4 linked regions of the Arabidopsis thaliana genome follow. The protein of the gene in region 4 interacts with the protein of the main gene of each other region in a pairwise test. Each region holds a gene or a part of one and is shown on either strand. Other genes may lie near its edges.

Region 1 (8,297 bases), on a different chromosome or scaffold from region 4:
ATTTTGACTCTGTTACTTAGAGAAGAGAGGAGATTTCAAAGACATGTTATTAGTTCTCTTTTCTTATTCTCCGTCATCCTTAGACTATAAAGGTTTTAACATCAATGAGTCGTTTTCTACTCTCGAGTCTTCTTGTGTGGAAAAGTCAAAAGTATACAAAATACTCAGAATACCATCATTTGTTCATTTTCATTGACTATGAAAATAGAATAACAGCAAAACTTGCAAGACCAATCAAGCTCTTTGAATCGGTCTACAACACATTAAAGAACATATAATTTATATTTCTATTGTATGTACAGATAATAATGGATCATTATGCTTATATTATATGCACAAATGTATCTGGCGTTTAACAAAAGGAATAAGAAACATACATGACTTCAACAAACTTTATTTCTTGGAATTTGGACATCTGACATAATATTCACTTCTTTCCTATAACCATGTCTATAGACACATGCCAATGAGGAGCAAAACCCCAACGCCTCTCCGCTTCTCAAATGGAAAGCATCAGAGAGATGATTCTGAGTATAGTTGGACTGATGTAGGTACTGGGGAGAAGGCCAGGAATGTCTCCGTCCTCGGTGCGATCAGAAGGGCAGCTAAGAAAGTCTTTGTTATTATTTTCTTAGGACAACGGAAGTTAAAGCCAACAGAATGTAGATCTGATCCTGGAGAGAGCAGCACGCACGACAGAGAATCTACATGTAAGCAAATTGGTGTTTGATTGAATCTTTCCTAAAACAGCCTTTCTTGAATATCAGGAGCATGCTTTGAATCTCTTAAGCTCTGGTGATGTATGCCGACCATTAAGACAACCAAACTTTGTTACAAACCTGAGGGTCTTTGATGGATGATGCGATATATTTCTGTACATCCATGCTCTCTGTATATCTGTGACAATCTTTTTTCTTTTTCTTGAATATGTGCAGTATCAGGCTGGACTGGTTATTCATCACCAAGCTCCTTTGGAAGGTCAACAGAAAGAAAGGTTTCAGGTCAATATCGTTTTTCTGGTTCAAGATTTCAAAGTCCTGGGAAAGATTCTTCTTCTAGCAAAAGTTGGCATCAAGGCCCGGTAATATTTTCTTTTGGGGAGCTTCAAAGGGCAACCGCAAATTTTTCTTCGGTTCATCAAATTGGGGAAGGCGGTTTTGGAACTGTTTTTAAGGGAAAACTTGATGATGGAACTATTGTTGCTATCAAGCGTGCGAGAAAGGTAGTAGTTGAAATCCTTTTCTTGGAAAATATGTGGAAAACAGATTGAACTAGTTTCTTAAGAATTATTCGGAGAAGACATTATCGATAACTCAAAATTCTGTGGCAGAACAACTATGGCAAAAGCTGGTTGCTAGAGTTCAAGAATGAAATATACACATTGTCAAAGATTGAGCATATGAATTTGGTAAAGCTGTATGGATTTCTTGAACATGGAGATGAAAAGGTTATTGTTGTTGAATATGTTGCCAATGGAAACCTACGAGAACATCTAGATGGTAAGTTGCAAGAGGTACTTCCTTCTTCTTTTACGTGTATATAGAGAAAAATCCAGTCTCTAATTTTAGAGCATAGAGAACTTTCCCAAAAAATAAAATATCTAAATGAATTCTCAACTATTGATCCTCTATATAAAAACACAGGTTTAAGGGGTAACCGCCTTGAAATGGCAGAACGTCTTGAGATTGCAATTGATGTGGCTCATGCATTGACCTATTTGCACACATATACTGGTAATCTTGTCATATTGTTGTCGGTGTTGCATTATAGCTTATTGTGCCAAGATTTAACGCATTAGGGATTTTATAATGCAGATAGTCCAATAATCCACAGAGACATTAAAGCATCAAATATCCTCATCACGAATAAGCTTAGAGCCAAAGTGGCGGACTTTGGCTTTGCTCGTTTAGTGTCGGAAGATCTTGGGGCTACTCATATATCGACTCAGGTCAAAGGATCTGCAGGCTATGTGGATCCAGATTACCTCAGGACGTTTCAACTAACTGACAAGAGCGACGTTTACTCTTTTGGTGTTTTGCTCGTAGAGATTCTCACTGGAAGACGTCCCATTGAGTTAAAGAGACCACGAAAAGACAGACTCACGGTTAAATGGGTAAGTTACTTTCTCTTTTCCCTTTCACCAGAAGCTCGAGATTATCTCAACGACTAAATCAGGAGAAACTCGTTTCATCTTGGGCAGGCATTGAGGAGACTCAAAGACGATGAAGCTGTTCTCATAATGGACCCATTTCTCAAGAGAAACCGAGCCGCCATTGAAGTGGCTGAGAAGATGCTGAGACTTGCGAGCGAATGTGTTACCCCGACGAGAGCTACACGTCCAGCTATGAAAGGCATTGCGGAAAAGCTATGGGCTATAAGGAGAGAGATGAAGGAGACGATGATATGTTCATCTGCATCTAATTCTTCTTGTTCTTCAACAACACATAGCTTCATTGGTCGTGATTCAGACAGATATGCATTGCCGAGGATTGAAGATAACGAGAATAGCATTGAGTAACTCTCTCCTTGATGATATCAATCTGTGAAACATGCTGCTGCTTCTCATTTGAAGAATTTTTTTTACTTAGATGAATACAAATACATGTCACTTAAATTTCTTTTGTTCTTGTATAAATACAAATACAAATTACTTCTGTTGAGTTTCAGAGAATATTCTTCAAATGAGAAAAGATGGATAGTAGTCTTAACATATGTAATGTAGAAGGCCAAAGTAGAAACGATATTTGAATCCCATAAATATCAAATCACAACCATTCCCCAGTTGGCAGTCATTACACATCAAATCCAGAGAAGATGACATTGACGATGAAAGATCACTAACAACAACAATCCACAAAAAAAAAGGATACAACACAAACACAAAACCCTTCTTTTTGTATTATATATAAATTTACAAAAGAGACTCTTTCCTGTCTCTCAAGCGAATTTAGGCTTCGGCAAGGCTGAGCCACCAAGGCCGCTGCTGCTGCTGCCACCGCCTCCTCCTGCGTGGACTGGTCCAAGCTTCTGGATCCAGTGTTTCAGACCTTTCCTTGGGTCCTTACAGATCTTGCTCGAAGACAGATTCAGGTTCCCTTCACGTTCCAGTGATATCGCAAACTGTTCAAGCACTTTCACTATCTGCCAGAACTCGGGTCTCTTATCTGGTGCAACCGACCAACACTGCTCTATCAGAGCTTTCATGGCTACTGGACAATCTCCCGGGATAGCTGGCCTAATGTTCTGAACCAAAGATCAACATTTTTCATATCTCAAATGGTTGAATCAACTGAACAATAAAAGACCTAAAATATACTTGTGCCGGAAGATTTTTGTCTGTTAAATTCTAAGGCTTTAACCGTAACCATTAGACAGTTCTTGTGGCATAAACTCTACGGAAGATTACAATAATGAAATAGTAAGGAGACGCACAGAATATTTTACCTTATGTACGACTGCGAAAGCAGCTTGAATAGGATTCATGTCCTCATATGGGATTGCTCCAGCTACCATTTCCCATAAAACGAGTCCAAAGCTGTATACATCGGCCTTACGTCCATGTGGTTTCCGTTTTATCATTTCAGGTGCCATCCACCTATATGTTCCGGGGTCATCAGCCAACATGTCACAGTACTCCTCCTCGCACGCTATGCCAAAGTCAGCGATCTTCAAATGGAATTCTTCGTCGATCAATACATTTTCTGGCTTAAGATCCCGATGAATTATGCGTCGTGAGTGAATATATTCCATCCCTCTAGCAATATCTATAGCAAACTCTATAAGCTTTTTCAAAGGAAGAGACCTATTCTCAGGCTTGTGCAGAAAAGATCTTAAAGATCCTTCAGGTAAATACTGCGTGAGGACACAATATACAGGCGGATCTTTGTACGCTCCAACAAACTGTTTTTAGCACATAAATAAGAGAAGAGAAGTTAACAAAAACCGTAAATCATTCCATCTAGACTGACATAACGATTAACCAAGAGAACATAACGAGAGAGGAGAAATCACCTTTATAACATTTGGATGGGTCAATCGAGACAAAAGGGTCACTTCCTTGGTAAACTGTTTCTCTAAACGAGCTCCCAAGCATCCATTATCGTCATCATCAGGTACAGTGATAAGCTTCACGGCAACAGCTTTATCTTCATACTTACCATGATATAGCCGGCTGTATAAACCATGAGCAAACTTAAGCCCAAAGAACAGCTTTGACATATCAACACGGAACTCTTCAGAAGCTTCCACAGCACTCACTCTACGACCAGTATTATCAAAAAGCTTAGACCATCCAGTGTCCTTCTTGCTCTTGACCCTCTCTTGAATTCTCAAAGTGCCAAGATCTCTGATAGGACCTGAAGGAGACCGCAAGTTAAATGATCTCTTGTCAAAGGAGTTTTTATGAGATAACTTAGGCTTCATTCCCTTTTCCGATTCCACTCTTCTTGGATGTGGAGTAGAAAATCTCTTACGCTCAGACCTCGCTTCCTTAAACACATCGGGAACAGCCATCTGAGGCGAAGGAGAAACAGATCTCTGCTTATGAGTAACCGGGTTTGTCTGTATTTCCGAATCAACAACATATACATCAGCAGCTTCCAAACTCGAAGTATCTCCCGTAGTCTGTGAGTTACTCGAAACCAACTTAGGATCCGATGATGATGCCGACGACGAAGAAGATGATCTCTGAGGTATAGCTTTTAATCCAGAAAACTTATCTTGGTTTATCATAAAAGGAAGAGAAGCTAACTTTGAAGAATTCAAACGATAAGAAACCGTTTGAGAAAACTTAGCCCTCCTAATCCACGAAGTAGCCTCTTCATCCATCTCTAAGCTCGAAAACAAACTAAACAACCTTTTTATCAAAGACTAAACAACCAAAACTCTCAATATCTCCAAAGTACCTAAGCAAACCCGTGAATACGAATGAGATGACTTGCTGCAATCTCCAACGATCTCATTTCCACGAAGATACAAAATCTTTTCAAATCCATCGAAGCCCCATTTCTCACCTTCAACCATTAATCCACAAAAACTACAAATCATAAAAGAAGAAAACTTTCCTACGAATACTACTAAGCTCGAAATTTCTCCAAACGTTCCCACCAAAATCACCGGAAAATCCTGAATTACATACCTCTTCCTACAAAATCAAGCAACAATACTCAGAAAATCGAATCCATAGAAGCTATTGAAAACGATAATGAGGGTTAAAAGATCGATCTGAATCAACAAATTTAGGAAACTAGTTTTCGATATTTGTTTACCTGAATCACAACAAAAAACTATGAAGCGTCGTCGTGTGTTAAAAGGAAGAGAAGAGGAAAGCCAAGTGAATCGGAAATCAAGAAGATCCGGCGACTTGAAGCCGGAGGAAGATGGAATCGAAGGAGAAATTTGAGAGCTAAACCATAAGACGTTTTTGGATTCTCAAAGACCTTTTTGACGAATCCAGACCTCTTACGCCTTTTTAGATGGATTTTTTTTTTCTTTTTTTTTCACAGATAAAATGTGGAAAATAAATAAATTCTTTTGGAATATTTAGAAAAATACGTTAAAACGACAGCGTATTAATCTGTCTGTCAGCATCTCTGATATGCTCTAATTATTCTGTCTGAAAGAGAAATTTAATTTAGGTTCCCTTTTTTAGTCAAATAAATTCTAAAGGCCATAGACTTCGGCCCATTAATAATAAAACTGGCCCAAATTACTTTATGATATAGGCCATGATGATTGCTTGATAGTAACCAGAAACGAAAGAGGCCTCAACGTTGACAAGCTTCACTAATCCTATGAGAAAAACTCTTCTGTTTTTTTTTTAAAGAACATAATTCACACAAATTAACCATTCTAAACAAGAACTTTAAACTACATAAAACCATTCCTATCTCTTATTCTCAACATTGGGGAAGTGCTTAAACAATTGTTACAAAACAACTTTTGAATAAATACATGCTAGTTTTTTTTTTCTTTGTCAACAACTTTATTAGATTGACTCAAAACAAGCCCATGCTAGGTTTTTATATCAATTAAATTCTTGTTTTTTTTTCAAAAAGAAATTAAACATTGTTTTTTTTTTTTTTTGTTAATTAAAACATGCTAGTTGCATGAAGTTATAAGTTCTGTGATGACACTGTTTTAAATTATGTATTAGATCATATGCATCTATATTTTTTTCTATTTTATTTGTAAAAGAGAAAATTATAAATGCTACTGGCCAAAAATACGTGTGTGTGTGGAGAAAACAAAATGGCCAAAAAATAAATGATAGGAGAGGAATAGAAGAGAAAGAAAGAAAGATTTAAGAGGTGAGTCCAAAAGATTGGTAAAACACAAATGCTTAACAACAGAGTTAATTTTTGGGGACACCACACACATGACACATCACTTTGTCTCCAGACCTATGTCTGTCCTACGCCTTTGGACATACCCTTTTCTCTTTTATCCGATCATCGTATCCTACACACATTATCTCATGATTACTAATCTTGTCTTCCTTTTTTTTTCGGTTTAAAGCAATAAGCGATATGTACACATCGCATACATTAATATTTTACACCACTAGCTATTTTAAGTTTCTTTATTGAACATGTGTACCTAGCTAGCTAGTTCATATGATCATATCAGTGGAAGACTGGAAGATATACTAAATTATACACAAATATACTTTCTGTTCAGCAAATGTTTTTTGAGTCAACTATTACATTTAATTAATGGTTTAAAATAGCGAGCTAAGAGTGGAGTTAAAATGGATGCGACAAAAGGAAAATATTTGAAAATTTGACAACATTTTTAAGATATATTTACAAGAAGTACCAACCTCTGGTCATCATTGTATTCTTCTAAATCGCAGAATACAAAGGTTAGTACAAAAGAATCTATCAAATAATGGGGGTACTGGATTTGTCAACTATATCACTTGGAAAGCTTATGCATGGGGTATAACCAAGTACGAAAGTATAACTTTATTCTTAGGTCAAACTTGCACAAAATATTAGGGTTAAGAAAGTCACCTGAATGATTTCACGGGAACTATATATGGTTAATGAATACCCACCCTATAAAAAAAAACAAGAGTGACACAGAAAGGATACACCATTTATAGACAAACTAGAACTGGCTTAATTTTTTCGTAGCTTGCACAATTTCATATATATTTTTAAGAAAGTCTTATGGAAGATATGTACATTAAGAGGTCATGCGTTTCTGATTTATTTGTGACAACCTCAGTTGAAATCATTTTGCCTTGTTGAGCGTTTGTGATTCTGGCTTCAGTTTTGATTCTGGATATACTTCCAGTGAAGTTAATATGATTTGTAATAACAAACTAGACAACAAATGGCTAGATGTCGAAACTTGAAACAAGAAATATCCCACTCCTCAATTATAATTTCATAATTAAATAATCAAGTTTGATACTTGTCACATCAAAACTCTTTTTCCTCATTGGCCTGTTTCTCTCAAATCTTCAATAAATTCTCTATATATATATGAGAAACTTTGAACCTCATTTTTCATATATATCACTGTTCTTCTTCTATATTGGAGTTCATCTCTTTTGTTTCTAAAGAAAGAGAGAGAGAGAGAGAGAGAAGAGAAGATGTTGCCAGGCATACTATTATGCTCACTTAATCCCAGGAATCACAGGTAAATATTCCTTTTCACCCCAGTTGGAATATCACTTGTGACTAATATAATTTGTTCTTTTGTTTAAAGTATTGATGTGTTTAAAGTGTTTTCTTAACATGGGGTTTAATGATAAATTTTGGATTTATAAAAAGGGGACAAGAATTTTCTATATGATTTGGTTTGGATTAGGCAAGATCCATGACTTTATGGGATCACTTTCTCGTCCAATCAAAAGAGAGATTCCTAAAAAATAGATACTTGAATAATTACCACTTAATAATGGCTATTTTTTTAGAAGAGAGAATACAAAGGATAAATTATAGTCTTAAACATATTTAAAACTACATAATCCATTTTTGTTTCTCATTTTTTTTCTTTCTAAATTGTTTCTCATTAAACGCATGTAAAAACAATATACCTATTGTAAAACTAACCTATGGGCTAATTAAAAAAAGAAAAAGATATTGGTATTTAAATAAAAATAAAAATAAAAGAGGACGACCATGTGTGCAATAAGAAAGTTGTAGAAAGACCCAAAAACTTTCCCCGAGGGCCCAAAATCGAGGTTAAGCTTTTTTACACGTCACATCGATTACAATTTTTTTAAAAGTCAGGGGTCAAAACATAAAACTAAAAAGGGTTAATTCGGTAATTATGATTCAGTTCTT
Region 2 (7,267 bases), on a different chromosome or scaffold from region 4:
AGAAGATTAACCATATGATGGATGGATATACATAAACAATATTCTAAAAATTGCGGTTTTCTTAAAAACCTTATCGCATAAAACACACAATCCAAGTCGTAGGGTACACGTTTACCGCCGCACCGACATTGCAATTTCTTTAGGTCTCATTTTACCACATCTCCCCAAACTTACGTGCTTCCACGAAAGTATCTATATTCTTTTCTTTTTTTATAGGGAAGAACAAAACGCAAAAAGAGTTTCGTGTGAATCATCATCACTTGGTCTTATTATTATTGCCATAGTTGGATTATACATAATTTACAAAGTCAAATGTCTTTCTTTTTTTTAGCTTTTCTGTACAATGTCAGCTAACAACAACAATAACAGTAACAACAAGAGCTGACGTTATTCACAAACATAGGAATCAAACAAATGGATTATTCAGAGTGCGCTTCGATTTCGATATGAAGCGACAAATCTTTTGTTAGCCGAAAGTTTTCTCGGTGCTGTAGCACATGTACAAGAACCCGTCTTCTTCCTTGAAAGTATTGTAGAGAGAGTCCATGCGACTAGCTGCATAATTCAAGACAAGTGTTAATGGAAAGCTTTGGAAAACTGCAGGTAAAGTCTCACTCTACATGGATGATGATACTTCTTATCTTACCGGTTTGAGGAAGAGTGTTGTGTACGAAAACAAAGAGAGCTTTGGATGGATCTAACTGCATCCTTTTGCTTAGCATATGGATGAAATGTCCAACAGTCATGTCTCGTGGGACCAAGTATCTACAATAAACAAATGCGGGATACAGAGTTAAAAACAAGATTATTCACAGTTAGACAGGTTACACTTGGTTTGGTCCAACAGCTAAATTGATGTCACAACTCACTTGTTCTTCTCCATGTCTGGCAGATCTGCGTTTGAATATTTCTCAATGATCACCTACATAAGTAAATAAAACCCATCCATAAATGCTGGAATCTGATGAAGAAACCAAACCAAGAACAGATCCAAATCCCTAAATCAAATTGGTTTGGGTTGTTGTTGGTGATAGATCAAATCTCAACTAAAGAAGTCGTCTCCGACATTGACCAGAGTGATTGGATCAACACCAAACCGCACAAAATCAGTCAAATTTCAGATCCCAGATCGTATCCATCAAACCATGGCGAAGAAATTCTAAGATTGAAACAGAGATTCTAGCAAATTCGAGAGATGCAAGTCAAACGAAGACTTTTTTTTAATTGAGTAAATCATTCGAACCCTAAGGAAATCCACAATCGCACGGCAACTAAGACGGAAACACCAAGAAACAAATCAAACATGAAATTTATGAAATAACTTACAGGTATTCTATCTGGATATTTCGCAATGATGTTGTTCGACTCCTTCAATCTCTCATCTATATCCTCAAACAAAGATGAAAACTTTGCTTCAGAAGCACATTTCGAAGGAAAAAAAATTCCAAAGAATCAGAAAGAGATTAACGAAGAACAAACCAGAGGAGAATTGATCCTTGAAAGACTTGACAACAATCCCCATTACAGATTTCACGACGAATGATTCCTGACCGAATCGGTGTTTTTTTGTTTGCAGAGAGCAGAGGAAGAGGATGTGTTCAATTTTATGTTTGGTTAGTTCGTTTTTGATTGTTCGAGAAGAAACGGTAAAAGATGAGAGAAAAGAGATTATTTATAGAAAGACGACACGCACTTATCCACTTTTTGGACTTGTCCGATTTCTTGTGCACGTCACAGTTTATCTATGGGCCTCTATTCATAATTTTGGGCCCATCAAAATATATAACACGCATAGCTGCAAGAACAATCAAGTGTATTACAAACTCTTTTATTCTACTCTTTCAAGTGAGACATCGATCTCTCCTTGCAGAGAGAGAGAGAGAGAGATTCACACACAAACCGCAATCATCCTGCCGGAAGATTCTCCATCTCTTTTGTAGCAACAGTGCGATCCATAAGCTTTTGCCTCTCTTGTTCCAAGTAATAGATCTTATCATTCATACCTTCTTTTTCATACGCCTCGACCATGATCTCAAACGTTCTTGAATCGCATACGCATTGTCTCTCCTTCATTCTTATGTACACTCTTTCCATCTCTATCAGATCATCTGCTTTAGCACACGCTGATATCACCGCGTTGTAAAAGGCAGTATTCTCGGGTATCTCAAACTTAGCAGCCAACTGAACACTACTTATCACCTTGTGGAAAAGACCGGCATTGGCATATCCGTTTATGAGACAGCAAAAGGTCTTTGTGTCTGCTTTCATACCTTCGCTACGCATCTGATCAAATGTCAACTCCATGTTCTTTGCATCACCAACATCCGCAAACGCCTCGATGATATTGTTGTAGGTTGATGTTGTCCACGGAAACTCTAGCTTTCGCATGTATTCCATGACAGACGACATCTTATCATACATTCTCTTCTTCCCATAAGAACCAATCAAAATATTGAAAGTCCGAGTCTCTGGCTCAATCCCAAAGTTCCTGAACTTTTCGTACCAGCTCTCCATCATGTCTATCTTACCCATGTTTCCAAACACACTAAGGATGATATTCATAGTCCACACATCGGGTTTGCAAGCAGTACTCACCAACATATCAGACAAAACTTTCTCCATCTGATCAAACCTTCCGACCCTACCGTACCCACTTAAAACTATGTTCTGGGTCACAGTGTTTGGAGTTATCAAACGCTCGTCCATTTCCTTGTATAACGAATCCACCAAGTCAAACTGAGAAGCATCCACACAAGCCTTGAGCAGAGTGCTGTACGTGAAAACATCAGGTTGGCATTGAGGAAAGCTTTTCATTTTATCAAGAATTGAAAAAGCATCGTCGATGAGATTGCTGCGAGTGTAAGCAGCGAGAAGAGCAGTGTAGAGTTCAACAGTTGGTTCAAGTCCTTCTTCAAGCATTTCGTCGAACAGCTTCTGTGCACGATTGGGTTGACCAGATTTACCGAGAAGAACAAGCAGCTTCATGTAAGTTCCTTCCTTTGGTTGATAAAATGTTTGTTCCCTCAACATATCAAAAACCTAAGATCATCAACAAAATACCCAATTCAATCAAAATCATCTTTCAGCTAAATTATACTCGTGATTCAAAATTGAGTTCAAATTCAATCAAACATGAACGAGAAGAGAGAAAATCGAAATACCTCGAGAGCTTGTAACCACTGCTTTTTGGCGATGAGATCGGACAAAGTTTCAGTGACGGTGTTAACCCATCCGTTAGCTTTGCTTCTCCTGTCAAGTTTCTTCTTCACATTCTTTATCGGAGTTCTTCTCTGATTAACCGGCTCCGTGATTCCGGGGAATTCGCCGTCTTTCCAAAGCCTCTTCTTCGTAACACTTCCCGGAGAAGATTTCGAAGCAGCCAAAACGCATCTAACGATGCCCACATCTCTGTGACGAAACCTACGCTTACCTTCGGGGATTCTGGATGAACATAGCGAAGAAGAAAAGGAGAGAGACATTGACGCCATCGTCTTCTTCCTTCACACCTCACTGTCACTCTGTTTACGGATAATTCCCGTCGATACTCATTTCGGTTGGATATGGTAAAATACCGGTTTATATAACCGAACCGGAAACACATTTGATCCGTTCAAATCCCTTAAAAACCGGATCGTATTTTTAAATATGATCACATAATTGATCATTTAAAAATAATACGAGGCTATTTTTTTGGTGTTCAAAAAGATAAAAATAATAATATGAAGCTCGCATCTCTGTAAGTATATATATATATAAAACTAAAAGGAAAATCACGAATTATAGTATCAAAAATAGATTTAATAATAAAAATAAGGATTGGTGACTGGTGCACAAAAGGTGGTAACAAACAAACACAATCTTGACTAAATTCTATAGAAATATCCCAAAGAAAAAAAAAACAAATCCAGAAAAATATTGTATATTGATTTTGATGATGTCGATGTTGATGTGCAGATATTACTCTTTTATCTATTGCTTCCGTTGGAGTTTAGTTTTGTGGCAACAGTCTATTGTATGACTATCTGGGGATTTGGGAGTTTATCCGGCCGGCAAGCATACATTCATTGGTGTTGTTTGCAACGTTTACAACATTGTTATCATCTATCTTTTATTTACCATAGTAAGCTCTCTCTCTCTCTCTGGCTCTCACTTATTGATGAATATATAGATAAGTAAACTATTAAACTGGTTTTGATAAGTTTTTAATGCGTGAAACAATTAGGACAAAATGCCGCCGGAGACTAAGACCTTCAAGTACATGCCGTTTTGGCTATCGTTAGTTCGTTTCATCAACGCTGGAATTTGGACTGCTTATTCTTTGATCTACATAATTGATATCTACGTCCTTGTAAGTCCTTTTTTGTTTTTGTTTTGATCTACATAATTGATATCCTTTTTTGTTTTTGTAAGAAGGGCGAGCTAAAGAGTTTGAAGAGCTTAAAGGCGAGCTGAAGAGCTTAAGGCGAGCTGAAGAGCTTGAAGACGAGTTGGAGAGCTTGAAGACGAGCTGGGGGACTTGGTGAAGAGAACGAGTTGATAAGCTTGACGAAGAGGAGCGAGCTAACGAGCTTCTTGAGAAGGGCTCGCTGACGAGCTACTTGAGAAGGACGAGCTGACGAGCTATTTGAGACGGACGATCTTCGTGAGACGGGCGAGCTGACAATGTGCTGTCTCGGTGATAGTCAAGCGAGACGACACGTAGTCCATATTAGAAAGGGGTCAAGCCACACGTAGTTCATATTAGAATAAGTGAGCTAGGCCGTCATTGGAGGTAGGTCGGCAGGTAGTTGACGAGCCGGCAGATGTGCGACAAGCTGGATGAACCGTGGTAGAGAGACGAGTTGGATAAACCGAGTTGTTTGCTGAAGGTCTAGACGAGCTGGACGACGAGATAGGTGGACTATGCAGTCAATGGACGAACTGCCGCTAGGCGAGGAGGTAGATGAGTTTTGTTTTCGAGGGATGAGCTGATAGCTAGACGAGGAGTTGGACGAGCTGTATAGATGACAGCTAGACGAGGAGATGGTCGTTGAGTGGAGCATGAAGACGAGCTGAGAAGCTTGAAGACGAGTTGAGGAGCTTGAAGACGAGCTTAGCAGCTTGTTGAGCTTAATGGCGATCTGAAGAGTTTGAAGAGCTTAAAGACGAGTTGGAGAGCTTGAAGACGAGCTGAGGGACTTGGTGAAGAGAACGAGTTGATAAGCTTGTCGAAGAGGAGCGAGCTAACGAGCTTCTTGAGAAGGGCTCGCTGACGAGCTACTTGAGAAAGGCGAGCTACTCTGTGTCTGCGTGTCAGGCGGAATTCCCCCCTTCGACATGACATGCTATTCCGTATTTATAGCACTACGCGTGTAGGGCATTCATCGAGGGATTTGACGAAACTACCCTTCGCCTTAATACTCCTCCTTGGTTTGGAACTTATTTTGGGCTTTTGACTTGGGTTTGGGCATTGGGCCAAGTAGGCCCAATCCGACCCCTAATAGTTCGGCAAGGAGGAGTATATGATTTTAACCCCCCCCCCCATTAAATCTCCTGATACGTATTGAAACTTGAGGGTTTATGGTTTATGTTATGTTTCACTTATTTTGATCGTGTGTTGAGTTTTGTAATGAGGATATTATTATCATGTCTGTTACTTTTGGACTTGTTAAATTTTCGTAAACGTTGTTGCTTTTGTTGTATCGGGGCACACTTATCCGGATTTATCGATTATGCAATTGCCCTACTACATCACATTATTATTTAAATTTGTCTTCAAGTTTTTATTTCGCATAGCACATATATAAAGAAAACGCTTCGTTCAAACTCGTCTGTGAACTCCATAAAACTTATTAAAAAATCCGTCCAAAAAAATATATAGTATAGTTTGGATCGCATGAAAACATATCTAAACATAAGTCTTTGTTAGGGGTCGGATTGGGCCCTTCTCAAGTAGTTCATCAGCTCGCTCCTCTTCGTCAAGCTCTTCAGCTCTTCAAACTCCTCGGCTCGTCCTCAAGCTCCTCAGCTCGTCTTCAAGCTCTTCCCATCACAGCGACCATGTCCTCGCCGCCTAGCTGTCAGCTAGTCAGCTCGTCCAACTCCTCGTCTAGCTATAGCTCATCCCTCGTCAACTACCTGCCGACCTACCTCCAATGACGGCCTAGCTCACTTATTCTAATATGAACTACGTGTGGCTTGATCCCTTTCTAAGGGTACGTAGGCAACCTTTTACAAGGTTCAGCTATAAAACGAATAAACTCTATTCTTCCTCGGACATTAAGTTCGTCTTCCGGCCTCAAGCTCGCCTTTCATCTACAATCAGCTCGTTCTTACTCCATCAATGCTCGTTGAAGAAATCATCCTTTGAAATCCGTCCAATTCGCCTAAGTCGCAGGCTCGTCTTTAATAGAAAGATTCTTCCTTCCCTAGAGATCCCATTTTCGTACTTGTGTGATTCGTGCATCAACAGTTGGCGCGCCAGGTAGGGGGATAGCTCGAAGATATCTCTCAAAACTACGACCCCGCGACGAAGCAAAGTGACAACAAACAGACTACATGGAGCATTCGATACCGACTCGTCAGGCTCTGGAAGTAAAACGACAACGTCGATCCCCGGGAGAGCCAGTCACTCGACCTCTTCATTCGATATCGCAGCATGTTCGACAAGAAAAGGACTTCAAGGAACTATCGACCCCATCATCCTAGGCGATGACACTTCCAGCCCGGCAGTCAGGACAATAACACTGACCAACGAGGAAGTGCCGCTGATTAAAGAGGAACATCCCATAACCTCATTAAACATACCGACCTCGTTATCACTCACGCCTAACCAAGAACAAGAGGAGAAGTCATCAGGCGGACGTCACTTGGAGAACCTCGACGATGACACTACCAGCTCGGCAGCTCGGACGATAACGTCAGCGCACGGGAAAACTCAAATAAAGGAAGAATACTACTCGGCGTCATCTATTGTACCGACCTCGTTATCGCCCACGCCTGAATACCTAGCGTTGCAAAAAGACCAAGGAGAAGCTTCACTTAGCCGATTTCATCGCCTGGACGATACGGCTAAAGCCAACCAACGCGGCGAAGAACTACTCAACATCATCATCGATCATTTAAAGCAGCGCGACGCGATTATTAACCGCCGCCCAAGAGCACATACAAGATAAAATTAGCCGCATGCACATGAGTCGTTATTCGCATACCCAACCTACGCGAAGAAATTCAGGTTGTCTTAAACCAACCCAGCTCGGCAATTCCTCAGACCGCTATAAACGAGATA
Region 3 (8,466 bases), 9.3 Mb from region 4:
AAGAGAGATTTGATAGTGAAGGATACTCAATATAAACTTAATAAGTTTGACTAATATACTAATATAGTATTAATTTGAAAATGATGTTTGTGGATTACATAAAATCTAATATCCAAATTATATTATCACTATAAATTTAATTATTTTAAGTACACGATTTGATGAGAAACGAGATAGTGTTGTTGGTTAACCGATTCAAATTTCTGTTTTATTAAGTTATCGAAAGTTTAATAATTAATAGCACACAAGAATGTAAAAGATACGATCCAAATCTTGATTTGGAGAGCATATACTTTTTTTATATTAAAACAATCTGTCCATACATGTCATTGGAATCTAGATACATCCCAAAACAATCTGAAATATATTTATTATTGCGAAAAAGAAGGGTCAATAATCATAAGAGTGTGCCTATTATACTAGTATATAATAATAAAGTTGGTGGAATAATGAAATACTAAAGTTCAATTATTACTTGTAAAAGTAAACTAAAATCACCTAACTACAAAAACTGATGACCAATGAAATTGTAATGATGGTAACCAAATCCAATTAAATTCTATTCTGGGCAAAAACGAATCGATAATTGGTTAAAAGTGTTATTTTAGTTAGGACAAGACTTGTGATAGTGATCGCATAAGACTTTTAGGGGTTTTATTACTGGACCTATTCTAGCATCATCCTATTTCAAATCCTTAAATTCTTGTTCTCGAACCCGCTTTAAATTTTTCCTCGTTTCATATTATAATTGATTTAAGCAAAAGTATGATCGGTAGGAAATTCTTACAGCTATTATGCACTTTTATAACATTTGTTTTCCAATCAGACTCAAGTGTATATAGTGTGTCCCTTCTAAAATTCACAACTTCTATAACTATATTATATTTTCTCACCACGTTTTGTATCTTTCCTTTTTTGTTTTGGTTTAAAGCAATATGAGAATTTTACATGCTTTAGGTGTTTTTTTTTTCTTTTTACAGCAAGAAAAAATGAAGAGTACAACCCAAAGTTTACAGAGTAATGGTACAACAATTACCAGACGAATTATCTTCTTACAGCTTGGTTAAATCAATTGCTAAAGCACAAACTAATGGCGTGTATATATATTGCATATTTAGCCAAATAGTAAGCTTGAAGATTCTAAGACTTTCAAAGTAATCCCTTGCTGAGTTGCTATTATGCTGTATATGTACAATAGTATATAATAATTAAAACTTTAACGAAGACAAACTCATGTGAAAATGTAATAATCAGAAGACAAAATATAAGTTAATAATATGTCATATATATAATAATAGAAATATATGTTCTTTTCGAATTAAAATTAAAAGGTCTTAATTTTTTACAATTGCAAAAACTTTAAACTGAAAAAATGATTTAATCTTCTGGAATGTACATTATATAATATCCGCCACCCTACTTGCTACCCCTAGCTAAAAGCCAAACCGATGGAAGACTCGCTTGCATTAAATTATGCACTAGCTTAATCTACTTTTAAACTCTCTTATAATACATTTAATTCCTAATTTCTATCGCCATTTTATATTTTTACTGATATCAATATTCGAAGGGTCCATGCCTATGATTCCATGTCATACATAATATTTCCTTTCATACCTACATTCATTTTAATGAAAACCTTAAATATATATCCAAAAGCTATACATTTATGTAAACTAAACTGGTATAATAATTTTTGAAATATGTGTATGTCTACTGATTTACTATTTGATTAGTTCGTAGTAAATATATTATAAATTGTTTAAACATAAAAACAAAAAAAATCATGTAACTAGATAATTTTCTTGACGAAGATTCGAATTAACAACACAAAAAAGTTCATTTTCTGATATCGCAATGGTCTAATTAATGGTTGTTGAATAGTTTATCTTTTCCACGTTTCATAAGCTTTTTTGGTACGCGACATCCATATTGAAAAATGTCTGTCTACACTGAGCTCAATCCAATGAAATTTGTTGTGAATGAGATATATGCATTCACGGATTTCTAAAAAATATGAAGTCCATGACATCCATTGAAACATTTGACAAAATAAAAATATAAAATATGAAGTCATTACAACGTAGAGTAAGGTTTCTAAAAACCCCACTCTCGTTTCGTAGAAGCCCCACTACCACCTCACTTTAATTTCATTCATTATCTCATTTACGTTGATACTTTAAATTCATTTTTCCATATAAACTTGTAAGTATGAAATTTGTACTTAGTATATATTTTATCTATCTTTCCATGATGAACTTAAATATATTACAGTTTGCCTAGCCTTTTTAGCTCAGCTATATATATATATATATATGCTAATGTTGTTACGATGTTTATTGTTTTGTGTCTATATCTTATTTACTTTTTTGAATTATTAATAAAATGGAACAATTATACATATAGATTATAGATACATATATCTAAATATAATATATTGTATCTATATATATTAATACAAATTTTAAAGAACTGGCGGGTTTCTAAATTCTAACATATGTACTGTAAGTTCAGCTTCTTACTAAGTCATAGGAACATGGAGAGCGTTGGCAAAATCATGGTCAGTTTGTTTTGCATTCATAATTGAAGACATAGTAGTATCATGCAATGAAGATATGGTGGGCCAAATATATCATAAAAAAAATAGCGAAACAATAAGAGAACGTTCGTGAAGCTGAAGCATATGAAAAACACGTAAATATATTTATGACGAGTGACATAGTAAGCATACGTGATATTATTATTTAATTAGTAATATAGGCCACCAATCAGAATTCTTTGTCTCAACGATGAATAAATTAACTATAATAATCCAAATTTTTAACATTGTTTTAAGAATATCCGTTATTCAATTAGTCTACCTATAACAATGAATTATTATGGATCCTTTATCGCTATGCCTTGATCAGGAGAATTAGATTAGTTACACTTTCGCAATTTTTGTAGCGATGGATTGGAACAAAAACCAAAACAAAATATAGACTATTTACACATAAATTATACATGAAATCAACTTAATTTGTTATTCTCTAAAGTTTAGATTGTCTTTATAAAATACCAATCATATACCTAACTAAAACTAATGAATCTTTAACGTGCATGAGATGGTGCATGTGCAAATAAAACTATAAAGAAAACCATGATATATTTTTTCTAAGAATGATAGTTTTTGGGAATTTTAGACTTTCGGTCTATATTTTTCGTATGTCCACACCAATTGTTGATATTGCATTTAAAACATTAATTATTATTTTTTCCAAGTATAATTGAACTAGTAACCATGAGGTCCATGACATCCATTTGAAAGATGTCAATTCGTAATATTGTTTCAAAATATTTTTTCGTTTATAATACATAAACTTTAATTTTTCCTGTAAAAGATATCAACTGTTCTTTTCATTTGTGTTACAACCCAATAATTATTAAATATTTGAAACTTTAGTATTTAGAAAAAATACATAAAACTAATAGATAGATATTTTATTTTATTTTGAAACAAAAAGCTAGAAATGGAGAGTGAGAGAAAGGTCCAAAGGCACGGCTAAGAAAACAAAACCGTGGACACCCTGTCCTCAATTTGACAAGTCTTTGTCTCCTCCTTAACTCTCTTCTTCTCTCTCTTTGTCTTATTCTAGTTTGGTCTCAACTCCCAAAAACGATGACGTTTCATTCCTATATAGTCGTCCTCTCTTCTTCTTCTCCTCCTCTTATCTCTACTCAACACCACTCAATTTCATCTCTCTTTTTCCCTTCCATTGTTAGTATAAAAACCAAGCAAACCCTTAATCACTTTTCATCATCATATATCACCTTAATCCACATGCATACACATATCTAGTCTTTTTGATATATGGCAATTGTATCCTCCACAACAAGCATCATTCCCATGAGTAACCAAGTCAACAATAACGAAAAAGGTATAGAAGACAATGATCATAGAGGCGGCCAAGAGAGTCATGTCCAAAATGAAGATGAAGCTGATGATCATGATCATGACATGGTCATGCCCGGATTTAGATTCCATCCTACCGAAGAAGAACTCATAGAGTTTTACCTTCGCCGAAAAGTTGAAGGCAAACGCTTTAATGTAGAACTCATCACTTTCCTCGATCTTTATCGCTATGATCCTTGGGAACTTCCTGGTAAATATACATTCACATAAACACACATAAATCATCTCAAACTATTTGGAAATCTTAATTTCTATTCATATGTTAAGATCTTTCTTCTCTCTTATCACTTTCTCTCTCTATTTCTTTTTTTTTAACCTATATATGTACCTACCTCCTTATGAAGTATTACTATGTCGATCGTTAACAATTCTCAATATCTTTAAACGCTTCTCCCTCTTTAGTTTCTTTCTTAAATTAACCTAATTAAACAACCTACATATATATCATAAGATATACAAATATGTGTATGTTTTCATAATTAGCTTATGTATGTTTAATCATAGATATATGTATATGCAGCTATGGCGGCGATAGGAGAGAAAGAGTGGTACTTCTATGTGCCAAGAGATCGGAAATATAGAAATGGAGATAGACCGAACCGAGTAACGACTTCAGGATATTGGAAAGCCACCGGAGCTGATAGGATGATCAGATCGGAGACTTCTCGGCCTATCGGATTAAAGAAAACCCTAGTTTTCTACTCTGGTAAAGCCCCTAAAGGCACTCGTACTAGTTGGATCATGAACGAGTATCGTCTTCCGCACCATGAAACCGAGAAGTACCAAAAGGTATAAATTCTACTATAACTCTATATATATCCTATTCATACATACATAGATATAACCCTAGCTAGGTGGTGAGGCCTTTAAAATTGAAATTAATCCCTAGACAGTTTGAATTTTTTCTTTTTTGACTAGTTTTATTTATTTATTTTGGAATTGATTCGATAAGATCAAAAATACTTGTGAATGGACTAAATGTCAGGCGGCGTTTGCGCTTAAATCCAGAAAAATGTTCATGTCATATGCGTGAACTCTTTAAATTGCTAGACATGGCCCATATGTTATAGTAGAATACATTAATAGATAGATGCATACACATATATATAAACACACAAGTATCACACTCGACATTCATATACCTTAATTCTGCAGAGACATAGTTAGTTTTTCTTACAATTTATGACATGAATGTTCCTGCTCTTCCTCACATTAATTCATGTCTTCTATTTAAGTTACCCAACATTTTTTGAAATAATTTGGCATATATGAATTATACCAACATATTTATATGCGAACATTTAAAATCTATACGAATGATAACGGTTTATGGAGTAGACCGAAAAAATATTATGTATACGGAAAATGACAATGGATAGATAAATACATTTTTTGGGCTCTTTCGACTTATATGTCGTCACCATTTGAAACCATAAATTTATAAAATTTTCTATGTATATATATGATATTATGATGTATGCATAAGACAGCTAAAACAACAGGGTTGACATAATTATCTATGTGTATGTATTGCACATTCACTTGTACTAATAAAACTAAAATTACGCAATTAAATATATAAAAAATAATAAATATAATCATCTTAATTATATTTGCATTGTTACGTCATATGATAGTACTCTAAATTTCTTCTAAACGTGCTATCTTTTTTTGCTAATGCTAACTTTACATAGTTTGTGAATCTTCTTTCAAAACCATATCTTCGATAAATGATATTTTTCATAGATATTGTTAGTCTATATTTGATAATTTGATATATGTATCAAGTCTCTAATCAATGTGCTCATGTATAATTATAGGCTGAAATATCATTGTGCCGAGTGTACAAAAGGCCAGGAGTAGAAGATCATCCATCGGTACCACGTTCTCTCTCCACAAGACATCATAACCATAACTCATCGACATCATCCCGTTTAGCCTTAAGACAACAACAACACCATTCATCCTCCTCTAATCATTCCGACAACAACCTTAACAACAACAACAACATCAACAATCTCGAGAAGCTCTCCACCGAATATTCCGGCGACGGCAGCACAACAACAACGACCACAAACAGTAACTCTGACGTTACCATTGCTCTAGCCAATCAAAACATATATCGTCCAATGCCTTACGACACAAGCAACAACACATTGATAGTCTCTACGAGAAATCATCAAGACGATGATGAAACTGCCATTGTTGACGATCTTCAAAGACTAGTTAACTACCAAATATCAGATGGAGGTAACATCAATCACCAATACTTTCAAATTGCTCAACAGTTTCATCATACTCAACAACAAAATGCTAACGCAAACGCATTACAATTGGTGGCTGCGGCGACTACAGCGACAACGCTAATGCCTCAAACTCAAGCGGCGTTAGCTATGAACATGATTCCTGCAGGAACGATTCCAAACAATGCTTTGTGGGATATGTGGAATCCAATAGTACCAGATGGAAACAGAGATCACTATACTAATATTCCTTTTAAGTAATTTAATTAGATCATGATTATTATCCATGACAATAATTATTAATGCTGCTTTGCCATATTTTCATACTCCTTATATATTGTTATGGCGATAGACAATGATTGATTACTGCGAGTTTATGTAATGGAACTGATTCTCAACATATATAGTCAATTAAGTAGTTTTTTTTTTCTTGTGTTAAAGTTAATTTCTTTAAGCTAGATTCAACGTAGTTAAAAAAAAAAAATTCACTGTAATATATGAATACAAAATGACTAAGGAGTGCAATCCGTATCAAAAGTTCTCAAACAAACCAAAGAAGAAATAAACTTATTGGATTAGATTTTCATGTACGAGCCCTAACCGAAACCAGACTAAAACCAAACACTAACTAAACCATAACAATAGTAACCGTAAATCCAACCTAGTGATATTTAATTTGGTCTTCATTCCATTTCAAAATTTCAAATTGAATGTTGATATTTTTTGTTGTTTATTCATCACTTATTAGAATTCATTTTGCATTGTCATTTACATGCATTAGATCCAAGATGTTTAATTTTAGTTACCTGTTAGTGCGACTTTATAGATAAACAATCCACTAACTCTTAAGAATTCAACAACTAATTTTGAGATAGAAATATATAAAGATAAAAGATGTTAGCTAGTTTTTTGTCTTTGTAAATATAAGACTAATTAGGGTTTGACAAAAAAAAAAAGCATAGGACGTGCAATATTTGGTAAGAGCAGTTGTTCCCGTGATTTTGTCAGATATGACCAGCATGAACAGTTGTATGTTGTAAGAAATCAGTTCCCTTTTTCTCAATGAGAAAAACAAATTTAAACTTGACTTAACTCTCATACTAGTCTTTTTAATCCTAATTATTAACAATCTTTAATAATATATGTAATGTGGCAAAATCCTAATATATACTGACTTGAATATGATACGAAAGTACTAATTTTAAAGTTTTTTCCCTTTCTAACCGGTCGATGTAACCGTATTTGCATGTTTTCTTAGATTATTTTAAATAATATATGTCTATCACCTATATTAGTAAGTATATATTCATAGATTATAGTTGATTTTGCCCAAAGAAAAAAGAAGATTATAGTTGATTATACCACATCATTGATATTCTGTGACGAATTAGATTACAGTTGCGGTAAACGTATTCGCTAGCTAGTACGACGTGCTTAACGCAAAAATATTCAAAGATAACGAATCCGATTAATATTGGTTCGTTTCTTAATTCTTACATCTAGAATCACACATAAAAACAATAAAATAATTAAAAATTTGATGAATTTTTTATTTTTTTGAGTGATAAAAGGCAAAATGTTTTCCGTTTTTTAGTAGCTTTCTCTTTCAAAATATCTATTTCTGGTGTATATCGTGAAAAAAACTTTCAAAATACGTGAATGTGATGATCGTTGAAAACTTCAAATCTCATTTCCCCTAGGTTACTATAAAAGCCCACTATCCTTTAATGGGCCAGGCATGCTATTTCTGTACAATACAAGATGGACCTGAATGTTTTAACTTTTAACTTTTATCTTTAAGGTCAAGTTAATTGAAAACAAAAACCAAATTTGTGGATCAATTTGGATGCCTCAGCCTACGTATAAAAACATGTTTTTTTTTCGTAATATTAATGGAAATGAATATGTTAAAAAAAAAAAATACATGTTTTTTTCGTCGACACTTTTAAAAATAAAATAAAATTTAAATAAATGTCTTTGACCAAAATAAAAATAATGTAAAATTTGGGAGTGGGGAATGTAGCTCGGAAAAAAATAGGGTATGTAGATCGGAATTAATAAATAGATTTTATATTATTACATAAACAATAATAAAATACACAATGTTGTCTTTATTTAATTAATACAAAAATAATAAAATAGACAATGTTGTCTTTATTAATATTACTTCTCAGCCCCAAAATTAATCTTTGATCGGTCCCTTTTGTTTTATCGTTTTAGGGTTTGTAGCTCCTTTCTCTTTTTTTCTTTTCTCAATTTCCCCCAAATTAA
Region 4 (7,003 bases):
TGAAAATATAAAGAAAATTTTACAATGTACTTAAAAAGAAAAGTCCTCCATACACATATTCGTCGTCATACATTAAGTTCCACTAAACGATTTTTAAGGATGGTTTTGAGAAAAAAAATACACACACAAAGGTTGAAATATCAACAATCTGATACTTCGCTCATGAACATTTCAAAGAAGGCTACTTTGAATGGAAATAACAACAACGTGAGAAACAAGAAAAGTACATAGATAGATTGGTGGGGCCTGAAATTTTGTAACATCAATCAAGTTTGATGCCCACCCAACAATTTTAATTTTCAACTAAAAACTACTTCGACCGTTAATTTGGTAGAAGTAGTGAATTTAGTATTCTTTCAAATTAACGGTCGAAGTAGTGAAAATGGTTATGAAAAATTATGTAACTATTTAGATCATCAAATATATGTTTGTGGTAATCAATCCTTAGAAAACTCTTATCATAAAACATTTTTGAGTTAATGTCATCTACAGTGATTATAGTATACTTGAAGGAAGGTGAGGACATTAGGTTTTGTCACAATATTATATAGATAAACATAAAATACCATACTAGATTTGAATTCCACACATAGTTTATGGTCTACAACTAAAAGTCTATTCCAAACAATCAGAGACAAAATTAAAATCATTTAATTTCTTCAGCCAAATAACTAATCTCCATTCCTCGTTGATGGCTTTATATGTTCGCAAATTATATTTTTAAAAAGAAATTGGAAGACCAAGAACAAGAAGCAACCTCAGTATTTTCCCAGGAAGGAGCCTAAAATTCAAATCTCACGTCTTGTTGAATTTTAAGCTTATGAAGTCAAAAACTGAAAATGTCAAACTTTTCTTCTTCTTCAAGGCTCTTCACTTTACTATATATTCTAACTCCCAAGTCCACAAACTACTCACAACAAATTTAGTCATCTCATAAATTAGGGAACACAAGAAAAATAAAATAAAAAACATTTTTGTTTTTACTACTCAAAAATACCACTCAAAGAAAATGATGATGAACAAAGTTGTTTTGGGTTCGTTTCTGTTTTTCATGTTGGTGAGTTCGAATTTTGTGGTGGAGGCTCGTCCTTTGGGTTTAACGAAGGCTGAAGAGAACCTCGTGGCTAAGTTCTTCGATGGTTTGTCACTTGGGGCGATTAAGGAGTCGGGTCCTAGCTCTGGTGGTGAGGGTCATCGGTTCGTGGACCGGACTGAGACGCTTGAATATGGTAAGCATTCAGGTCCCAGCACGAGTGGACCCGGTCACTAAGTTCCCGACCGAACCAGTTAATGTGGCTGCTTTGGTCTAGCTCCGGAAATTGATTGCTTTGTTTAGTTTTTTTTCAGATTAATTATTCAGATTTTTCTTTTTATGCTTAGAACTTGGGAAAATCAAGAATTGGAAGAACCTCATTTGTTCTCTGTAGGAATATTCTTTTGTTAACTTATTGAAATTCATTTGATAATAATGTACAATGTAATATATATTGTAATTAATTTATTATTCTGATTATGTGAATGAATAACTGGATATTCATGTTTTTAATGAGTTTCAATAACAACATAGTTAAGCTCCAAATCCACAAAGCAAAAAGAAGCGACTTAACTTTAACCTTCTTCTGAGTGATAATCACCTAAGCTTACCTCTTTAACAGCTACATCCACTTCAACTTTAACCAAGAAATCGCGATTTCCGTGGAAATTGAAGTTAACCAATTCTTTAGATAGTTTCTGAAGGATGTTGTTCCGGATGGAGCTGTGGAAATTTGGCTTGGACAACAAGTTATACACATATCTAGTGCATATTTCTTCTCCATTATATAGGTAAACATTAGGAGCCTTACGTGCAAAGCAATTGAACCCATTTATGGACATCATCAAGCAGGAATTGATGCAAGTGTGACTCCTTGTTGTATTGTATGCCAAATTGTGAAAAGGAAGCATTAGTTGTAGCAGCTGCTATGGAGAAAGGTACCATACATCCTATTGGAAGGTATTTGCTTGTCAAACATCAGTAATCTTACACCGCTTGATAGTTATTAACACAATCAAACTCTTTCTTTTTTGCAGAGCCACAGTATTGGGAAGGACCTCCCTTGTGCTTTGAGTATTTCCCCGGTAGAGGCCTTACTGCTACAGTTAGTTGTATTGAGGTGATCTGTTCTACACTCTGTATCATTCATTGAATATCTATATATGATGTTGTCTCTCACACTATAACCTTTACTGCGATGCTATAGTCGGTAACCGAAGGTAACAAACTACGGAAATCGTCACTTGGTTCAGTAGAATTCATTACTTCACTCTTCGAATCGCAAGACCAGTCTAGAGAGATCAAGAATGCTGTAAACTCCTCTTTGTATGGAAATGACTTTGTTCATGCTCTTCTTTCACTTTATCAAAAGGTAACATTGATTCACCTCGAGGACCAGCCTCATCAACCCTTTTATAGACCAATTTCATTAAATCTAAGACATGTCATGATCAAAATCAATACATTTATTCAGTTTTTTTTTCGAATGAATCAAATCTCAAATCATGAAATTGGCTCTTTCTCTGCATTTGCTACACAATTCTTCTCTTTTCTCACTCACTACTCGATCCTACCTAATCCAATAAACTCTCTAAACCCTACATTACGACCATTAGTTCCTTGCACCATACACGAACTTGCTCCTCCTCCAGCTCCTCCGCCGTTTCCTAGCTGTAAATCCGCCATGTAACTCCTAACCTCCGTCTTAATCATCTCCTGCACCACCGTCATAAAATCTCCACCAAGTCCAGAAATCTCTCTTTCCTTCTCTTCTTCTTCTTCTCTCTTCACCGGAAACAACTCCGGTGGAGTTGTTGACTCATTGACCCAAGGCAAAGACAACCTCAAACAAGTCATCGGATCTTTCTCCTCCTCCTCCGGCGATGATGACTCAATCACCACTCCACCAGCTCTCGCCGTCGGTTTAAAAACATGACAAGAAGAAGAAACCGGTAAAACAGATCCACTAGATTGCGATTGCTCGCTGACGTCAGATCCCGTTGGACTTAACGCCGTCACCACAACAACTCCTCCTCCACCACTCGCCCTCCGTTTTAACGGTTTTTCATCAGTTAAATTACCATCATACCCTCCATTACCACCGAAATCACAACTCTGCCCTTCCTCTCCTCCGCCGCCTCCGCCGCTACATTTCCGCTTCAGCGTTGAGTTCCAGTGATTCTTAATCGCGTTATCAGTGCGACCATTGAGAAGCCGTGCAATCGTCGCCCACTTGTTACCAAACCGAGCGTGCGCTAGTATAATCGTATCATCTTCCTCCGCCGTGAATCCACGGTGCTCTACCTCCGGAGAAAGCTGATTACACCAACGGAGACGGCAAGATTTACCGGAACGTCCAGGGATTGATTTGCTTATCAGAGACCAGTTCCTTGGTCCGTGCTTCTGAACCAACGATTGTAACAGATCGTCTTCTTCAGGACTCCATGGTCCTTTGATCCGATCCATTTCTTTCCGGGTCGAACCAGACATCGCTCGGATCTTCTTTTTAATTTAAAACTAATCAAATCGTTTAAAACGCGTTTCTATTGTTTGGGGATTTTGGAAAAGAACGAAACGATTTTTGTTGAGAGGATAAGTATGAAGAGGAGAGAGTATTTATACGAGGTGTGATGGTTAGAGAGGTCACCGGTTCTACCGGTAATTTTTTATCGTTAGTTAACAACAACTTAATTTTTTCGTAACTGTAAATTGGATTATTTACGTGCATAATTATGTTTTCAACTGAATCAAATTGAAATAAGTTAACTGACACCAAATTAAATATGTAAGTATATGCCGTTTTGTTTTATTATTTTAAAATCCAGAAAACTGAAATTTAGTTTGAACCAAACAAAATAAACTCTAAACTAAAATTTATTAAAATATATACTATTAAACAAATTATTATGTAATGTTTTTTTAATGAATGTTAAATTATAACTAAACATGTACTGTATTTCTAACTATAACTAAACAAAGATATTAAACTAAAATCAAATCATATTACATCAAATTATAAATGCAAACCTTTTTCAAAAAATAAATTCAAATTAAAAATTCTTATATATTGTAGTTATGTAAAACTATTTAGAAAAACTACATATTTAAGTAATTTTGCGTAATTTCTAAATTGGATTAGTTATGAAGAAGATGTAACGTGAGTAGTCTGATACGTATTTGAATATTTAAAAGAGAAAGAAAAAAGCACGTCAGGGAGTGGCGGTGCGATTGGGGGAAATGCGTCTGAGAGAGTGAGGCTAAAATAAAGAGAGAATCTTTCCAAGAAAACGGTTGGGGATTTGGGAAACAGCTGTTAGTGGGGACAGCTGTCAACGAAATATGTAACTGTGTGTGATAGAGAGAGTACATTTTGTGGTACTTGAGAGCGTTTCACAGGTGGATCGTTTTTTTATTTAATTTAAATCATTTCGTTTTTAAGTTATTTCCTTTTTTAATTATCTTTTCTTTTTGCATTTTGAAGGTTACATTCTTTGTTTTTCCTTTGCATATCAGTGTTGGTATGGTCGAATTTTTGAAGATTTCTATTTAAACGTAATTAGATGCACATTAATTATCGTTGTCGTATCTAAAAACGTATTTAAGTTTTTTCGGTCGTTTTATTTGTCGGATTATAAAATCTTTAGTTTAGGTTGTGAAAGATTGACTCTTATCAAGACCGTCTTTACCCCATGGCAAATTAGGCAAATGCCATGGATCTATTACTGATTTTAAAAACAATCATAAGCATAAAAGGCCCAATTTTCTTAAAACAAAATTTTATTAAGAGATTTTAGTTTTTATTTTTATTTTGGCAAAGGCTCAATTATAGCTTGAGACGGGACTGTTTCTTATATCGATAGAAAGTAATTAATGTTATCTTTGGTTTGATCGCATATACTTAATAAATTTTATCCGTAGTTATTTCAAAATAAAGGATTTATTGATTCTGAAGACTAATGTTTTTTAAAGGGTTTGTGTTTAGTTGCTTATGATTTTAGTTGTTGGGTTCGGTCTCTTTCGATTTAAGTTTAAAAACTTTTGTTGGTATTTTCATTAGATTTAGAAAAAATTACGTTTTCCTTCGACTTTAATTATAAAATCATATATGTCGTGTGTCGTTTTAGTTTTTCTTTTTTGAACGTTGTATTTTGTATTGGTTTCACAACAAATTTAAGAATATTTTTATTTTTTATTTTGTTGTGTGAAAACACATTTTGTTTTCAATTTAAAAGCACTGAAACACAAACGTCGCTTTTTTCGAAATTGTATTTTGCGTATTGAATTGACGTATCTATACATATTAGAAACGTATAAGTAAAGTATCCATACTTATTGAGTGATTCCAGTTTCTTCTGTTTTTGTTTTTGATTTTCTGATTAAAAGAAAAATAAAACGAAGATAAGGATGACGTTAAAAGTGGTTTAGGTTTTTTGTTGGATTCTTCAGAGACTTTTCTGACTAAAGAAGCCAGCCTGTATGCCAATATTATTACTACTTTTTATATACAAAAATCAGTTATTTTGGATATTCAAAAAGATACTAATAAGATTCTTACGTAAATCGAAAACGACAGGATAGATCGATTAGAGTTTTGAGAGCCTATCGTTACTATTCATTGTTTGATATAAGCTAGTTTAACATGTCTAAAAGATTTATGTTGAAGTAAAGTTCATTTCCTTTGTCGTTTTATTTGTTGTCAACATGATACTCATATACAAAGGAATACGTTAAACCGTACATCAGCCGTGTACCGCACAAAAAACGTCGCCTGCACATGTTCCAATGCCAACATGAACCTTGTCGTGAGCTTCCTCATTCTCTTCTTTCAAGTTATAGTTAGATAAGGTAAGAGATATCGAAAAGAGTTCTTAAGATTCTGTTTAATTATCGAAGCCAAATTTTATAGATTAAACAAGAAGGTGTCATTAATGGAGATACGGTATGAGATTTTCCCTTATTGGTCCATCGTATCTACTACCAAATTCTTCCTTCCCATAATTGTATATACTATTACCACTAATCATTTATGTAGTTGGTATTTTCTTATTCAAATTAAATATTAATGACATTGACCGAGTAACATGTATAAGTGTATGTGTGGTCCGCAATCGTACTTGTATATCTCATTTACTAACTCTGCATCCCTTCACGTGAGATTTGATTAATGTTTCTCTCATTATCCTGATACCCTACACGTTTTCTGAATAAATCTACGAACATGAAGTGGTATGCATTGGAAATTTTTAGGCGTATGAGTGTTTTTTCCCCCATTATATGATATGTATCTCAATGTGCTTTTGTTTTTTTATGATTTTCAACTATAGTAGTTTTTCATGATAATCAATATGCTCTGTCCCTTGATGTATCATACAAGTATTACTTTGTGATGTAGTGAATGTAATACATTATTAAGTGGTACGTCCATCAAAGTATTATAAAACAATAGTTTTTTCCTTTAAGAAAGTACAACTTTTCATTACGAATTTTGAGGGAGAATGTATTGTAACTCAATTCTTAAAATTATATTCTTTCACGAGAAAGGAAATTATTCCGTTCGGTCTGTGTCAATTCCATTATATATACTCACATCGAGACGTAATATCTACTTTTGTCGAGAGAAAAGCATGTGACTGCCGGAACAAAAAAAGCATGTGACCATATATCTCTCAGTTCCTTGTAAAGCTATCTCTCGAAATGAGTTTATTTAAAAGTATTCAAAAGTTCTTTGTTCAGGTTCAATGTATGTGTGAGCATATTCCTTTGGCAATTGATATCTATTAAACCAAAGTCGGAAATTTTTGTAAGGATATTGAAATATTGTCTCAAGTATTTCGTTATCAGAAACCTTAATAGATATCGATCCAAGTTAACGAAGAAGATGTAACAAAACTAGATCATTGGGTGTTCTACAGTTCCCCATTAAACGAGAGAAGATACAAATGTAAATTCACGAGGCATTAGAAGTCAAAG

The links.
Region 1: the proteins of MYB70 (region 4) and AT5G58950 interact in a two-hybrid assay, tested with the Arabidopsis thaliana proteins (one large-scale study listed by BioGRID).
Region 2: the proteins of MYB70 (region 4) and PPR2 interact in a two-hybrid assay, tested with the Arabidopsis thaliana proteins (one large-scale study listed by BioGRID).
Region 3: the proteins of MYB70 (region 4) and LOV1 interact in a two-hybrid assay, tested with the Arabidopsis thaliana proteins (one large-scale study listed by BioGRID).

What each region holds. Positions count from the first base shown.
Region 1 is NC_003076.8:23,798,199-23,806,495, forward strand, and holds AT5G58950 (Protein kinase superfamily protein), read right to left. Parts: upstream 5,487-8,297; 5' UTR 5,268-5,486; intron 5,144-5,267; 5' UTR 4,828-5,143; coding exon 4,012-4,827; intron 3,901-4,011; coding exon 3,445-3,900; intron 3,244-3,444; coding exon 2,938-3,243; 3' UTR 2,658-2,937; downstream 1-2,657. Other genes in the region: CRCK1 (calmodulin-binding receptor-like cytoplasmic kinase 1), read left to right, coding at 461-710, 936-1,222, 1,331-1,499, 1,644-1,733, 1,815-2,113, 2,201-2,518; GIL1 (glucose-6-phosphate isomerase, putative (DUF641)), read left to right, coding at 7,601-7,647.
Region 2 is NC_003074.8:1,954,753-1,962,019, forward strand, and holds PPR2 (Tetratricopeptide repeat (TPR)-like superfamily protein), read right to left. Parts: upstream 3,553-7,267; 5' UTR 3,489-3,552; coding exon 3,162-3,488; intron 3,040-3,161; coding exon 1,906-3,039; 3' UTR 1,657-1,905; downstream 1-1,656. Other genes in the region: ATG8H (Ubiquitin-like superfamily protein), read right to left, coding at 467-555, 647-765, 870-922, 1,327-1,382, 1,480-1,522.
Region 3 is NC_003071.7:644,194-652,659, forward strand, and holds LOV1 (NAC domain containing protein 35), read left to right. Parts: upstream 1-3,344; 5' UTR 3,345-3,811; coding exon of another isoform or gene 3,812-3,850; coding exon 3,851-4,142; intron 4,143-4,284; exon of another isoform or gene 4,285-4,472; coding exon 4,473-4,741; intron 4,742-5,772; coding exon 5,773-6,456; 3' UTR 6,457-6,627; downstream 6,628-8,466. Other genes in the region: AT2G02455 (uncharacterized protein), read right to left, coding at 3,812-4,024. UniProt on the Arabidopsis thaliana protein: Transcription factor that acts as a floral repressor. Controls flowering time by negatively regulating CONSTANS (CO) expression in a GIGANTEA (GI)-independent manner.
Region 4 is NC_003071.7:9,902,302-9,909,304, forward strand, and holds MYB70 (myb domain protein 70), read right to left. Parts: upstream 3,732-7,003; 5' UTR 3,524-3,731; coding exon 2,594-3,523; 3' UTR 2,205-2,593; downstream 1-2,204. Other genes in the region: AT2G23270 (uncharacterized protein), read left to right, coding at 1,010-1,270.